3 linked regions of the Xenopus tropicalis genome follow. The protein of the gene in region 1 binds, or shares a complex with, the protein of each later gene. Links are inferred from orthologs where the notes say so. Each region holds a gene or a part of one and is shown in the gene's direction. Other genes may lie near its edges.

Region 1 (4,255 bases):
GGATAGCGAAAAGAACAAATTCCCTTGGACAATAGATCTACACCTGCAAAAAGTGTAAAGTTTTTAAAGGTGCCCATACACCGAGAGATCTGCTCATTTGGTGAGGTCAAAACACGAAAAAGGCAGGCACTCCGTAACTCCAAATGAACGTCAAATAGTGGCTCAAAAAAGTTTATAGTAAAAACAAAAAAGTTACACATAATGCTACAAAGCCTTATACGTTTTGTACCTATATGGTACTTAATCATAGGCTCATTTGGTGAGGTCGCCAAAGGAGCGGATCTTTCCCTGACATGTCCATCTTGAAGTGGGCGATATCAGATCACATTGATGGAATACAGGCCATCGCCACGAGGACTGCATGGAAGCGCAGATGTGCTTTTCGCCCCAAGGGATTTTTATACTTGTCTAATTGACAGCTGTTGGGCTCATACAATGTGCTGACCCGGACCATCTGCAGCTTTTATTGGCCTGTGTATGGCCATCTTAAGTGACTTTATTTCTGAGGTTTTTATTAGTTTAACGTATTTTCATCTATTCAGTTTTCAGTGGATTTTATTACATAAAATATTAACACTTTTTTATGCATGCTGCAGGTGATCACTTTGTTCCTGCTTCAGAACACTTGCTACGAGAGAGAATCCTTGCCAAATTTATCTTTTGGCTAATGGACACCTATGTCATACAGTTGCTGAAATCATTTTTTTTTGTCACGGAAACCATGTTTCAGAAGAATAGACTTTTGTTCTACAGAAAAAGAATTTGGAAGAAACTTCAAAATTTAGGTCTAAGGTAAACTATGAATATAGAACTATGAAGTCTTAAAGGCATTGCATTTGAAATCATAAAATGCAATATCTATGATATCTGACATCATCATTTTACATTATATCCCTGGTTGATAAACGCTGCAGGGCTGTGCACCTGATGATCCAGTAATATTATCGTTTCATCCTGGCCACTATTATAATCGCTCCGTGCTGCCTTTCAATCGTTGATAAACGCTACAGGGCTGTGCACCTGATGATCCAGTAATATTATCATTTCATCCTGGCCACTATTATAATCGCTCCGTGCTGCCTTTCAATCGTGTAAATGCATTCTGGCGAGAAGTAGCAAAGAATGATTATATTACTGGATCACCTCGTGCAGAGCCCTGCGCAGTGTTTATCGGCCAAATAATTACCGGCATATGGTTCTAAATTATGATGTCCAGTAGTACCACAAACCAAACAATGTGAGAAGTGCTGTGATTCGTCCATCAAAGTGATCCCGCTATTGGCTGAAGCATATATCTTTCACAACTTCAAGTCAGTGAGGAATTGGCAGGTAGCCAGTACAAAGGTAAAACATTGACGTCAACAGTGTAAATGCCAAAACGAATATATTATCTCTTAAATGGAAATTAGAATGTATTTAGAAAAATGCCTTATTTTACATATGCTTTTCAGTCTTATACACCTTTTGATTTATGATTCCCTTTTAAGTTTTTGTAAGTAAAAATATAACTGAAATCAGCAACTTTTTTACCTCTTCTTAAACAACACAGCAGCAGTTGGCAAGTGTACATGTTTGTTAGAGAATGTTTAGTGCCTGATTTCATATGGGAGGTCTAATCTTGTAAGATCCAAGGTCCTGCACAGATTTAGGCCTATTTTTCTCTTTAGAAAACATCTAGAGAAGGTGAAATTGCGTCCATTGTCCTGCGATGAACTAGAAAAGATGCAACAATGGAAAAACATTCCACTGGTTTCCAGGCTCAGATTCATACCAAAAACAAATGGACTACGTCCAATATCTAGAGTATCCAGTACTTTGGGTAGCCAACAAAGCAAAGAAAACCAAGAGAAGAAGGTATCTTCTGTGCGTGTATGTGTTTTGTTGCCAATGTGTCTGCAAACCCATGACATTCCCATGCCATAAACTTCTGTAAAGCACTGCATAAATGTGTTGTCACTATAGAGTTACATATTTAAGTTGGGTTGAAAAAAAGTCCATCAAATTGAACCCCTCCAAACAAACCCCAGTGCGTATATATAGGAGAACTGACCCCTAACAACACTGGAGCAATTAGGAGATGCCACTACTCTTTGTAATTTATACTTTAGCCAGTTTTTTTTATCCAACTACAAATATGTTCCAGGCCAGTATTCCTTAATTTAAGCAGTAACCTTCTGAACCTACAGTGGCAATCACAGAGCTAAGCTCTATTAATACCTTGGGATGAATACCATCCGGTCCAGGACCTTTGTTTACCTTTTGAAATTCCTCCCGAGTGACCCATGCATGAGTAGCTATATTACTAGAACTGGGCATATTAAAAGGGAAGCCTTCATTAGCTGGCTCTTCAGTTGTGTAGACAGACAAAAATAACAATTCAGAACCTCTGCTTTTTCCCTGATCTCATTGAACAACTGACCTTCCTCTGATAATAAGGGTTCCACTTATTTACATATTTAAAAATGATTTTGGGTTTATTTACTCCTCTCTGTAATACAATTTTCCATCCCTATTTTAGCTTGGCTCATTAAAGCATACAAGTAAGCTATATAGCATTTAACAGTGAAACACTGTTTCCAGAACTGCAAGCACCTCTTGATTTTCCTCATGCATTTTTAAAGGAGAAGGAAAGGCTAAGTCACTTGGGGGTGCCGAAATTTTAGGCACCCCCAAGTGACTTAGATCGCTTACCTTTTAACCTGGGCTGGTGCCCCTGTTAGGAGAGAACAGCACCAGCCCGCGGTAGAAGCGAGTGCTTCCTATTCGCTTGCGTGCGCATGCGCAGTAGAGTGAAAAGCCGAACTTAAACAACAAAGTCGGCTTTTCACTCTACTGCGCATGCGCCGGCCGACGGATTTCGCAGAAGAAAGAGGAAGGAGGAAGCACTTCCTACAGGTACCCCGGGCTGGTGCTTTTTTCTCCTAACAGGGGCACCAGCCCAGGGTACGGGGTAAGCGATCTAAGTCACTTCGGGGTGCCTAACATTTTGGCACCCCCAAGTGACTTAGCCTTTCCTTCTCCTTTAAGCTAGTGTATTGCAATTGCTTTAGTAAATTGTGTATTGCAGTTGCTTTAATTCTCCATATGTTAGTACCTTGTTAGTGCCATAGTACCTTAAGCAGTTTAACAATGCTGACATTTTACAGATTCCTTTTGATTTATTTCAAATTTTTTTTTCCTTTATGTGGCAGATTCAACATTTTACCTCTCGGGTTCGAAACCTTTTTAGTGTTCTTAACTATGAATGGAATAGAAATTGCAGCCTAATTGGCTCATCTGTTTTTGGCATGGATGATATATACAAACAGTGGAAAAAATTTGTGCTAGATTTTGAAAAATCGAGAGCTGAAAAAGGCAAATTTTACTTTGTGAAGGTAAGTAAAAACAAACATCTTGTTAAATGTTCTCCCCATCATTAAACCTGTAAAGTTAATTCTTAATGATAATTGTTATTATATTAATAATGAATAGAACATACTTAAATGGTAGAGAGAGGAACTTTAGCTATCAATCTAGTTCTGAGCCAGCTACACTGTACAGAGTCAGTGCAGCTCTTCTCTTATAGAGGTAACAAGTAAATGATTGGCTGGGCTGTCATCACTAGTTTGACCTAGGAAACATCTGTATTTAACATTTTGTATTTGAGCAGACACAGTAACCAGGGCTCAGAATATTCACAGCAAAAGTTGAATTATGAGGTTGGGACACTGGTGTTTTTTCTATTTCAAATTTGTTTCCATTGGTATCAATTCACTTATAGGGCTTCCAGTGCTGCATATTGAAATACTTAAGTTATTCTGTGTTGAGAGTGCTATGTGAGTGGCGTTGCATCCAAGTCCTCATACTAAATATCATACACTTAGCGATCTATATTTGTCACTTGGTAATGTGAGAGAGTAACAGGTATATGTATATATTTTCCTTTTACATCCCTCCCTGTTTACAATGACATCAATTATCTAACCTCAGTTTCTTTGACAGAGTCTTGTGCTTGAGATGCACGGTAATGTCACTTGCCAGTCATTGGCTGTAGACCCTACGGTAGTCACATGTAAAAGCCAGTTTATCACTGAATAAAACTGTGCATGGATCCAATTAATTATCTTGAGAGAAGAATTATAGAGAGTATGTGTATAGCACTAGTAGCCTTTTATAGGAAATGTATCCTTCACAAGTATTCCTCATTCACTCAGCACAGCCAAACTGTTTTCCATGTACACACACAAATTTGGTGGTTTGATATAGCTACTTAATG
Region 2 (4,717 bases), on another chromosome or scaffold:
AGCTAAGCAGGGGATGTTTGATTTCACAAAATCTTATGAATGAATATTATCTTTAAAACTGCCCCTGCCCATTTATATGTTTATAGGGTACAGTGGCTACAAACGATCGGATTACATTTGTGGCCATGGGGCAGTCGGTTCGGGGACCGCATCAACGAGCCCATGCGGTCCCCGAGCCGACTGGATTTTCTAACCTGGCCGATCGATATCTGGCCAATTTCAGGCCAGATATCGGTTGGCCAGGCTGCTCGTTTCTGCCCACACACAGGCCGATTAGCTGCCGAATCGGTCCAAGGGACCGGCCCGTGTATGGGGGCCTTTATTCTTTGCAGCTTTCAAATTGGGGTCACTGACCCCGGCAGCCAAAAGACTATTGCTCTGTGAGGCTCCAGTTTTATTTTTATTGTTACTTTTTATTCCTCATTTTTCTATTCAGGCCCTCTCCTGTTCATTTATCATTTGTCATTCAAACAGCTCCCTGGTTGCTAAGATAATTTGGACCCTAGCAACCAAATTGCTGCTGAACAAAAAGTGAAACTAAAAAACTAGAAAGAATAAAAATGAAGACTAGTTGCAAATTGTCTGAGAATATTACACTCTACATCAGGGTTCCCCAACCTTTTATACCCGTGAGCCACATTCAAATGGAAAAAATTTTGGAGAGCAACACAAGCATGAAAAAAGTTCCCGGAGGTGCCAATGAGAGCTATAATTGGCTATTTGATAGCCCCTATGTTGACTGGAAGCCTACAGAAGGCTCTGTTTGCCAATTACACTGGGTTTTATGCAACAAAACCTTGGCTCCTAACCATAAACTCATAAATAAGCACCTGCTTTGAGGCCACTGGGAGCAACATCCAAGGGGTTAGGGAGCAACATGTTGCTCATGAACCACTGGTTGGGGATCACTGCTCTACATTATACTAAGAGTTAACAGAAAGGTGAACAACCCCCTTTAATGGCAATTTTGTTTACCAGACAAAAACGTTATGGTGTTTCTCAGGATGAGAATTAGCTGGATATATCAAAAGAGACTGGAGTTTATCGTTATTTAGGACCTTACTCCTAAAGCGCAACGAGGGTCCCGGTATTATGGGTATTATTTATCGTTATCATTGCAGATTGGACTCTTTCCTGTACTTGTATCTACCTCACCACTAGAGGGCTTTAGGTCCTTCCCTTGGAAAGAAACTATCTCTCTAACCAATGATTAATTTATTTCCTTTCTACTATAGATATTAACCATACATACAAACTATACACCACAGTAAAGTCAATATTCTCTGCAATACCGCATATTCATGGCCGGAAGTTTTCCTTACGCAGAGACTAGAGCGCAAGTCACAGATTGCTTTGCATATGCCCCTCCCACCGGACACGGAAGTGCTCAGTTGTGCGAGTGTGCGCGGTTACACGTGGTTGTGCGTTGAGCCTGCTCGTCTGTGATCTAGCGAAATGACTAAAGCAAAGAAGGAGGAATCGGAGGAAGTGCCCGAAACGCCGAGCAAGTCTTACGATGAGCTGTTGGCGTATCTAAACCCCATCGCTAAGCCGCTGGCGGGCCGCAAACTCACCAAGAAACTATACAAATGTGTAAAGAAAGGTACCATGCTTACTTCAATGGCCGCTGGCTCTTTCAGGCGAATGGTGGGGCTGTAATTAGAGTTTAACACATCCCGTGAATTGTTGTTGGAGCATCTTGTCTGAAATGTGTTTTAAAAGCGATAGCAGTCAGTCCGGCTTCTTGCGCACAAATGTGGATACAGTCACTGCGATGTACAGCGATTATAAACTTCGACTTCCGCTGAAATCCTGTGCAGGGATTCAGTAGAGGCTTTTAGCTAGTGACACTCAATTCACAGGAATATGTTCAGTTCTTTTAAAAGTGAGCTTTAGGCATAATTTCTAAAATCTAGTGCTAACATGAATGAAAAATATGCAATAATTCCTAATAAGCAGAACTATAACGGCTGAAAGTCAGCCAAAGCTTAATTGCTTCCTGTCACTGTAAAGGGATGTTTGAGAGGTTTCCCCATTCATAAACCCTGCCACCAACTGTGGCTTCATATAAAGCACTGCCTGCACTGTTATGGAGCCCTTGTGAACACTTGACCCCCCCCTCCATTTTATTGTGAACCAGTGTCACTAAGATTCACCACAGGTCTGCCATCTGAGGGCCTAGAGCAGTGATCCCCAACCAGTGGTTCATGAGCAATATGTTGCTCTCCAACCCCTTAGATGTTGCTCCCAGTGGCCTCAAAGCAGGTGCTTATTTTTTAATTTCTGGCGTGGGGGCAAGTTTTGGTTGCATAAAACCCAGTGTAAAGCCAAACAGGGCCTTCTATAGGCTACCAGTCCACATAGGGGCTACCAAATAGCCAATTATAGCTCTTATTTGCACCCCCATTTTCCATGCTTGTGTTGCTCCCCAACACTTTTTCCATTTGAATGTGGCTCACGAGTATTAAAGGTTGGGGATCTCTGGCCTAGAGCATTTAGAGAGCTCACAGCAGGGCTCTCTGGTTGCCTGCAAGGGACAACTGCAAAAAATGCAGGACTTGCTTTCTTAAACATTTCATCAATAAGACCATAAATACTTGTCCATTAAATGATAGATATGCCTTTTACTTAATCTGCCAGTAATAGAGGTTTTTGAATTCACCGCTTTCTGAAATATGTACACACTGTAATAATCAGAAGCATAAACAATGCCATTCCGTTCAAGAGGTTTTTGGAAGAATTACTACAATATGGATGTATCCTAAAGATCCCTCTATTTTCCCTTTCAGCCATAAAACAAAAGAATATCCGCAGAGGAGTGAAGGAAGTACAAAAGTTCATCAACAAAGGAGAGAAAGGGTAAGAACACTTATCCTTTTCTGAAACATCAATTAACCTCCACGGTAATAGTAGCTTACTGTACAGTTCTGACTTCTGAATATTTTTAGGATTGTAGTAATGGCTGGTGACACCCTTCCCATTGAGGTGTATTGTCACATCCCTGTAATGTGTGAGGATCGCGGCATTCCTTATTCATACGTTCCATCCAAATCAGTGAGTATTCTTTTTCCTTCACTTTTCTTCTAAACTGACAGTTCATTTCAGTGTGTACCAGTGGTTGCCAAAAATGTGCTGAAAAAGTCATCCTCGGCTTATACTCGAGTATATGGTTTTGTAATTCGTTGTGCACGCACGCCCACTGTGCGTACGCTCGCAAATCCCGCCCCCCCCCCGTACCTCCCTCTCCGGCCGCTGCAGGCAGAGGGGGCTGTGAGCTCCAGCAACCGGCTAGCTCACTCAGTGCCCCGGAAGAGACTGCGGCGCTGTGCGGGTCGCCCTGTGTAACTTGATCACTTCTAGCTCCGCCCACTCCACATGTAATAAGGATTTGCTTGTGAAGATATGAAGTACAGGAGACCCCCTACAAGTTGCTAGAACATGGTGTTATTATTTTAATTAAAAAAACGAATTTTTAGAAAGCACTAAGGGGTCTTATAGCTGTTTCAAAAAAAAAAAAAAAAATGGGGGATACCAGGTTTCCAGATAAAAAATCATATACAGAAGCATAACCATGGCAGGGTAGAGGGAGAGTCCTGGGAGCAGACATGCCAATAATTCATATATAATTTGATATGATAGATTTGTCATATCAAATTATATATATATATCGGGGACACACCTGACTATGTGGCTACAGTGAGGGTATAACTGCCCTTGGGAAGTGTTATCTTGCTCCTGGCTCGGCTCATGTTCCCCTCCTGCCTACATATTAATGGCCTCCTGGGATGTGTAGTTCCACAGAAGCTACTGCCATTCTGGCTGAGCACTCTCACAAATAGAAGCTTTGCTGTCAGTTGTGCTGGGAGACATGCTGCATTGCGATGGGAGCACACACAGCAGGATGGCAAGTACTTGATACTTAGTATGGCAGCTTCCTTAGCCTTCCCAAACTTGCCTGACTGTTAAAAAAAAAAAAAAAAAAAAAACTTAGCAGTAGCTGCTGCATTTCCCACCCTAGGCTTATACTCGAGTCAATAAGTTTTTCCAGGTTTCTTAGGTAAAATTAGGTACCTCGGCTTATATTCGGATTGGCTTATACTCGAGTATATACAGTAAATAATCTTTTAGTACACTTAAGGTATGGAGATCCAAATTACGGAAAGATCCCTTATCCAAGAACCCCCAGGTCCTGAGCATTCTGTATAATGGGTCCCATACCTGTACTATTGGAGAAAAATAGGGATTCTTCACAAATCTATCCTAATGGGCCTTTAAACTACTGGTGTCTTCTAACATCTTATATTTACCAGATCTAGTCACTGCAAAATGAGTGTGATTTCTTTACTTTAGTCCTTTGTCATACAACTAATACTTATAGACAGATCTTCTAAAAACAAAATTGCAAAAACAAATTCTCCTATACAAAGTCCTACTCAATTGTGCATAATACTCTTCTTGGTTAGAAACTTCTAGCAAACATTTACTGTGTAAGGGAATGGCACATAAACCATTGTAGGTGTTTTGCCACCTGAGTGATTTATTGAGAATCTCAGTCAAATATTCCTGGAACCAGTCATTGTGTATAACAAGAGGCAGCACTACATAGAATGCTAATGTTAAGCATTACACATATCTGCAGACATAGAAACACTGGTGACAATGTCCTTTGGCTTCCATTAATTTTAGTGGGAAGTGAAAGTGTCTGTTTTCCAGTGAA
Region 3 (4,920 bases), on another chromosome or scaffold:
CATAATATATGCCCTGCCCCCCAGGCATTTCTCAATAGGCACAGTGTGTGGTATATGCCCTGCCCCCCAGGCATTTCTCAATAGGCACAGTGTGTGGCTCCCCCAGCAATAACGACAGGCACAGCATGTGGCCCCCAACATCTCAGCAGAGGCATAGTGTGTGGGTCCCCCAGCATTTCACAACAGGCACAGAGTATGGCCCCCAACATCTCAGCAGAGGAAAAGTGTGTGGGTCCCCCAGAATTTCCTTACATACACAGGGTGCTGCCCCCCCCCCCTTCCACATTTCATTGCAGGCACAGTGTACAGTAGACTCCCTCCGCTATACATTTCTTATGGACTGCCTCAATGCTGCCCTATCCCAGGCCAAGCAAAAATACTATAATACACTTATAAATAATAAAAACAATCCATGGTGCTTGGTTACCATATTCTACTCACTTCTTCATCCTTTACCAAATAAATCACTCACGTCTAAACATAGCCCCTGGAACTTTGCTATTTTAAAAGCAAAGTCAATTCTACCCGCAAACAATTTTCTGGTACTTTTCTATCTTTAAAACAGCTGCACCCTCCACTGAAACATCCTTATGTAGAGTTGCAAATGATCTCTAGATGCCAAGGCCAAAGGACACTACCCTGTTCTCATTGCCTGGACTTATCCTCTGCTTTTTGATACTCTAATGCAAATTAGGGATGCATGAATCCAGGATTCAGTTAGGGATTTGGCCAAGATTCTACCTTTTTCATCAGGATTCAGTCGAATCCATGGTCCTGGCCAAACCGAATCTTTAAAAGACATGTCAATCCCAAAACTACATTTTTGCCCAATACAAAAAAAACATAATTCTAGGCAACCTTCCAAAATGAATTTATTAAAGATTTTCAGTGCTTTAAAAGTTATTTGTAAATGTAATTGTCATTAATTGGTCAAGTCCTGTGATTAAGGGCCAATGTCCAAACCTTGTGTACTTTTGTTCTATGTGCGAGTAATTTTGTATATTTAGAAATAGTTATACTATACCTCCACCCCCCAACACACACAGAATTATATCTGTATCTGTATAGCATTTCTTTTCTCCCATTGGGCTAGTTAAATCCATAACCAGTTCAGCTTTCCCATATTTCTTTTAAGTGTGTTACCCTCCCACTCTCTAGATTTGTGCCTTGCTGCCAAAAATAATTGGAGAATTATTACTCATGATTATTTTATCTACTTGCTAGCCCCATCCCCAAAAGATTTTTTACATACACCCAATGGGATTAATTCAACTGCTTTTCGATGTAAAATCCATTTTTAATGGGGTATTTTAGTTCAGCAACTGAGTTCAATTACAATACCAAGCGGTACCATAATTACTGGCTGCTCGGTAATAAGCTAAATATATGCGTTATTTTCTGCGGTGCGTCCAGCTTTGCCTTTCCCTAACCAAATCACAGAAGCTCTCATTGACTCCATTCATTCAGTTCAGTAAATGGACACAAACACGTAAGCGCGTTTCCTTTAATAGCCGCGCCGTTTGATGACGTGAATGCTGTGCGCCCAAGTACGATGTACGCAGTCCACGTGTTGTTGAGTCGGAAGTGGTGGGAACGTGTGCCGGAGTGTACTCTGGGTAGTTTCAGAGTGCCGCATGCAGGAAGCCAAACGCAACTAAAGGTAAATGTAACTCATTGCTTAATTGAGGGTAGATACGATCTGTCATGGTCATTTTAAAACATGCATTTCATTTTATTTGTCCAGTCCAATGATCGTTGAGATGAAAAGTAAGGGTGTACGACTGCTATCCTGGGTTTTAAAATACTGTTCTCTAGCTCGGATCAAACAGATGTTGAGCCTGCATGGAGGGCTGGAGGTTATACTTCCCTGTGACGATATTCTTCCACTCTGTGCTTCACCCCTGATCATTACAGGTCACTAATTCATGTAACATTGATTTTAACATTATTATACATCCAGGCCCTCCAGTGCTATTTGGTCAGATAATATTTTGTCATCCATTGCCTGGATTTAGTATGGGGATCATGGAGTTATGTCATTGCTTATATACATAAGTGATGGGCACATGAAATGATTTTCAACTAATACTATGCTTACTATCAAAGTGTGTCAGGGGGTTGTTTAAAGTTGCAGTTCAGTTCATCTTCATGTAAGCAAATGTTTATGGCAGACAAATATGGGCACATTTATCAAAGTGACAGTGCAAAAACTGTTAAACTTCTGTGCATGATTTTGGAAGCCTCCCATAGGACTCAATGGCACTCTGCAGCTCCGACCTGGCCCAAGGAAAGTCTCCCATAGGGCTCAATGGCACTCTGCAGCTCCAACCTGGCCCAAGGAAAGTCTCCCATAGGGCTCAATGGCACTCTGCAGCTCCAACCTGGCCCAAGGAAAGTCTCCCATAGGACTCAATGGCACTCTGCAGCTCCAACCCGGCCCAAGGAAAGTCTCCCATAGGACTCAATGGCACTCTGCAGCTCCAACCCGGCCCAAGGAAAGTCTCCCATAGGGCTCAATGGCACTCTGCAGCTCCAACCCGGCCCAAGGAAAGTCTCCCATAGGGCTCAATGGCACTCTGCAGCTCCGACCTGGCCAAAGGAAAGCTACGATAACAAAGCTTTAATAAATTCCAAAACTTTCGTACTCGTTGCGACAAATATGATTTTGTCGTACAAATTGTCACAAAGAATGAAAAAGTTGCACAAATTAACAAGAAAATCGCAGAAAATACGCACCGTTCTAAAATTTTGAAAAAATATGAATTTTTAGTATTCAGACTCAATCGTACATTGATGAATGTGCCCCATAATGTAACTAAAATTTTTTATTATTCTGTTCGATTTCCATTTAAATAGTGTTACACTGATCACAGAGGTTTGACATGACTACTTAACTGTGTGCCCAGACTACCTGAGATTCAACAATCTTTTACCCGTTAAAGAAATCATTATTTGGTTGCTTGAATGCATGGCTAAACTGTATGATTTTTAACTGTTTAGGTGACTTCACCTAATGGAAAACTATACCCCCAAGCAATTAGGTCTCTATAAAAACATATTGCATAAACAAGCTCATATGTAAAACCCTGCTTCATCTGAATAAACCGTTTTCATAAAAATATACTTTTTTAGTAGTATGTGCTATTGGGTACTCCTAAATAGAAAATTGCCATTTCAAGAATTAAGGGCTGCCTCCTGGGATCATAAGATTCACAGTGCACACAAACAAGCCAAGGCACACATGTATTCAGTGGACAGTTCTGTCTTTTGCTTCCACACTACTTCTTGTTACAGTTGCATTATTTCTGGTCATGTGATCTCAGAGGGAGCACACAGCCCATCACTAAATGGTGAATCAAGGGAAAGGGCAATATTTACTGATAAGATTCTTTAATAGCCTACTTAGCATATTATAAACTATCTGTTGGTTAGGTATTCATTCTGGGGGGTATAGTTTTCCTTTTAACTTTGCACTATATATTCCCCCCACAATGCAGCAAATATAGATTCTAACTCTGTACTGCACCACTGTAGGATTAGTACATTAAATGAGCTTGCCCCTGCATAGCAAAATGCTACCTCGAAGATAGTATTCTTTGTCAAGCATGGTAATGCATGCATTTTGACATCTGTTGGTAGAAAACTAGGAGTTGTAGTCCAAACACATATGGAGATCTTCGGGTTACTTATTGTTTGGAAGAGTTTTGTCTTTATGTAGTTCAGTGACACAATCTCTATTTAACATTTATAAATACCCCATTTTGCTTATCAATTTGAAGCTGAAAAAGTTCCATGAGACATATAGGTATGAGATGCATTATCCAGAAACCTAATATCAGTAATCAGCATTATGTGGGAATGCCATTTCCAATAGTGTCCAATTTAACAAACAGTTCATCACTTCTCATTGATGGTAACGAGACTCGCATAAATATATGATGAGCACAATACAGTCCTTTTTTTATTTAACAGGCTGCTTATCCAAAAAAACCCCAAGTCTCAAATATCCCAAGTAGCACCTGTACATGTATTTGCATAATAATTTTAATAGTGTCCTATAGGTTATTGGTATGGGTAATTGTAAAGCCACCCTACTGACTGCTTAAAACTGACATATGTTTATTGTTTCATTACATTTGACTTTTATTGATGACTTAAAAATCACTGCTCCAACTATTCTTTCAATAAGGATGTCATTCCGAGGGAGAGGAGGCTTTAACAGAGGTGGAGGAGGAGGAAGAGGAGGTGGTGGTTTTGGAGGAAGAGGAGGTGGCCGTGGAGGTTATGGACAGGGTGGTGGAAGAGGTGGGTTTGGAAGAGGAGGCGGACGTGGAGGCTTCAACAGAGGAGGATATGACCAAGGTCCTCCTGAGAGTGTTGTTGGTAAATATATTTATATGTATATTTTTTTTTCCAAGTCTTTCGACTGCTCTGATTTCCTGCAAAGTTTTGCAATCATAATCATTTTTTTTCTACATCCTTCAGTCACTTTTGTAATTCTTCAAGTATATATCTCTTCTCCAAAGCAGTTTCTAGCTGAAAGCAAATGTCTGTAGTGTCCCCTATGCTGCTTCCACTCATATGCATGTATTTCTTTTTGTCTTGCAGAGGTTGGGGAATTTATGCATCCATGTGAAGATGATGTGGTGTGTAAATGCATTACACAGGAAAACAGAGTGCCTTATTTCAATGCTCCCATATACCTTGAGAATAAAGAACAGATTGGAAAAGTGGATGAGATATTTGGGCAGCTAAGAGACTTTGTATCCTTTACAGCAAATTATTTCCACGGTCAACATCACTTAACATTGGAACTTTTTTTTTTTTTTTTTTAATTTTAGCTGATACCTCATTAAAGGAGAAGGAAAGGCTAATAAATAGTTAATCAGGCATACCATCAGTTCTCTCAATAGTGCCCTT

What was found.
Region 2: tert (region 1) and nhp2 share a complex: the UniProt entries of both Homo sapiens proteins name them as parts of the telomerase holoenzyme complex. The link is inferred for Xenopus tropicalis from reciprocal best matches to the Homo sapiens genes TERT and NHP2.
Region 3: tert (region 1) and gar1 share a complex: the UniProt entries of both Homo sapiens proteins name them as parts of the telomerase holoenzyme complex. The link is inferred for Xenopus tropicalis from reciprocal best matches to the Homo sapiens genes TERT and GAR1.

What each region holds. Positions count from the first base shown.
Region 1 is NC_030682.2:58,814,067-58,818,321, reverse strand, and holds part of tert (telomerase reverse transcriptase), read left to right. Parts: intron 1-596; coding exon 597-792; intron 793-1,667; coding exon 1,668-1,854; intron 1,855-3,191; coding exon 3,192-3,374; intron 3,375-4,255. UniProt on the Homo sapiens protein: Telomerase is a ribonucleoprotein enzyme essential for the replication of chromosome termini in most eukaryotes. Active in progenitor and cancer cells. Inactive, or very low activity, in normal somatic cells.
Region 2 is NC_030679.2:47,806,610-47,811,326, reverse strand, and holds the start of nhp2 (H/ACA ribonucleoprotein complex subunit 2-like protein), read left to right. Parts: upstream 1-1,396; 5' UTR 1,397-1,455; coding exon 1,456-1,603; intron 1,604-2,789; coding exon 2,790-2,859; intron 2,860-2,948; coding exon 2,949-3,054; intron 3,055-4,717. UniProt on the Homo sapiens protein: Required for ribosome biogenesis and telomere maintenance. Part of the H/ACA small nucleolar ribonucleoprotein (H/ACA snoRNP) complex, which catalyzes pseudouridylation of rRNA.
Region 3 is NC_030677.2:68,655,705-68,660,624, reverse strand, and holds the start of gar1 (H/ACA ribonucleoprotein complex subunit 1), read left to right. Parts: upstream 1-1,599; 5' UTR 1,600-1,660; intron 1,661-4,189; 5' UTR 4,190-4,190; coding exon 4,191-4,383; intron 4,384-4,608; coding exon 4,609-4,763; intron 4,764-4,920. UniProt on the Homo sapiens protein: Required for ribosome biogenesis and telomere maintenance. Part of the H/ACA small nucleolar ribonucleoprotein (H/ACA snoRNP) complex, which catalyzes pseudouridylation of rRNA.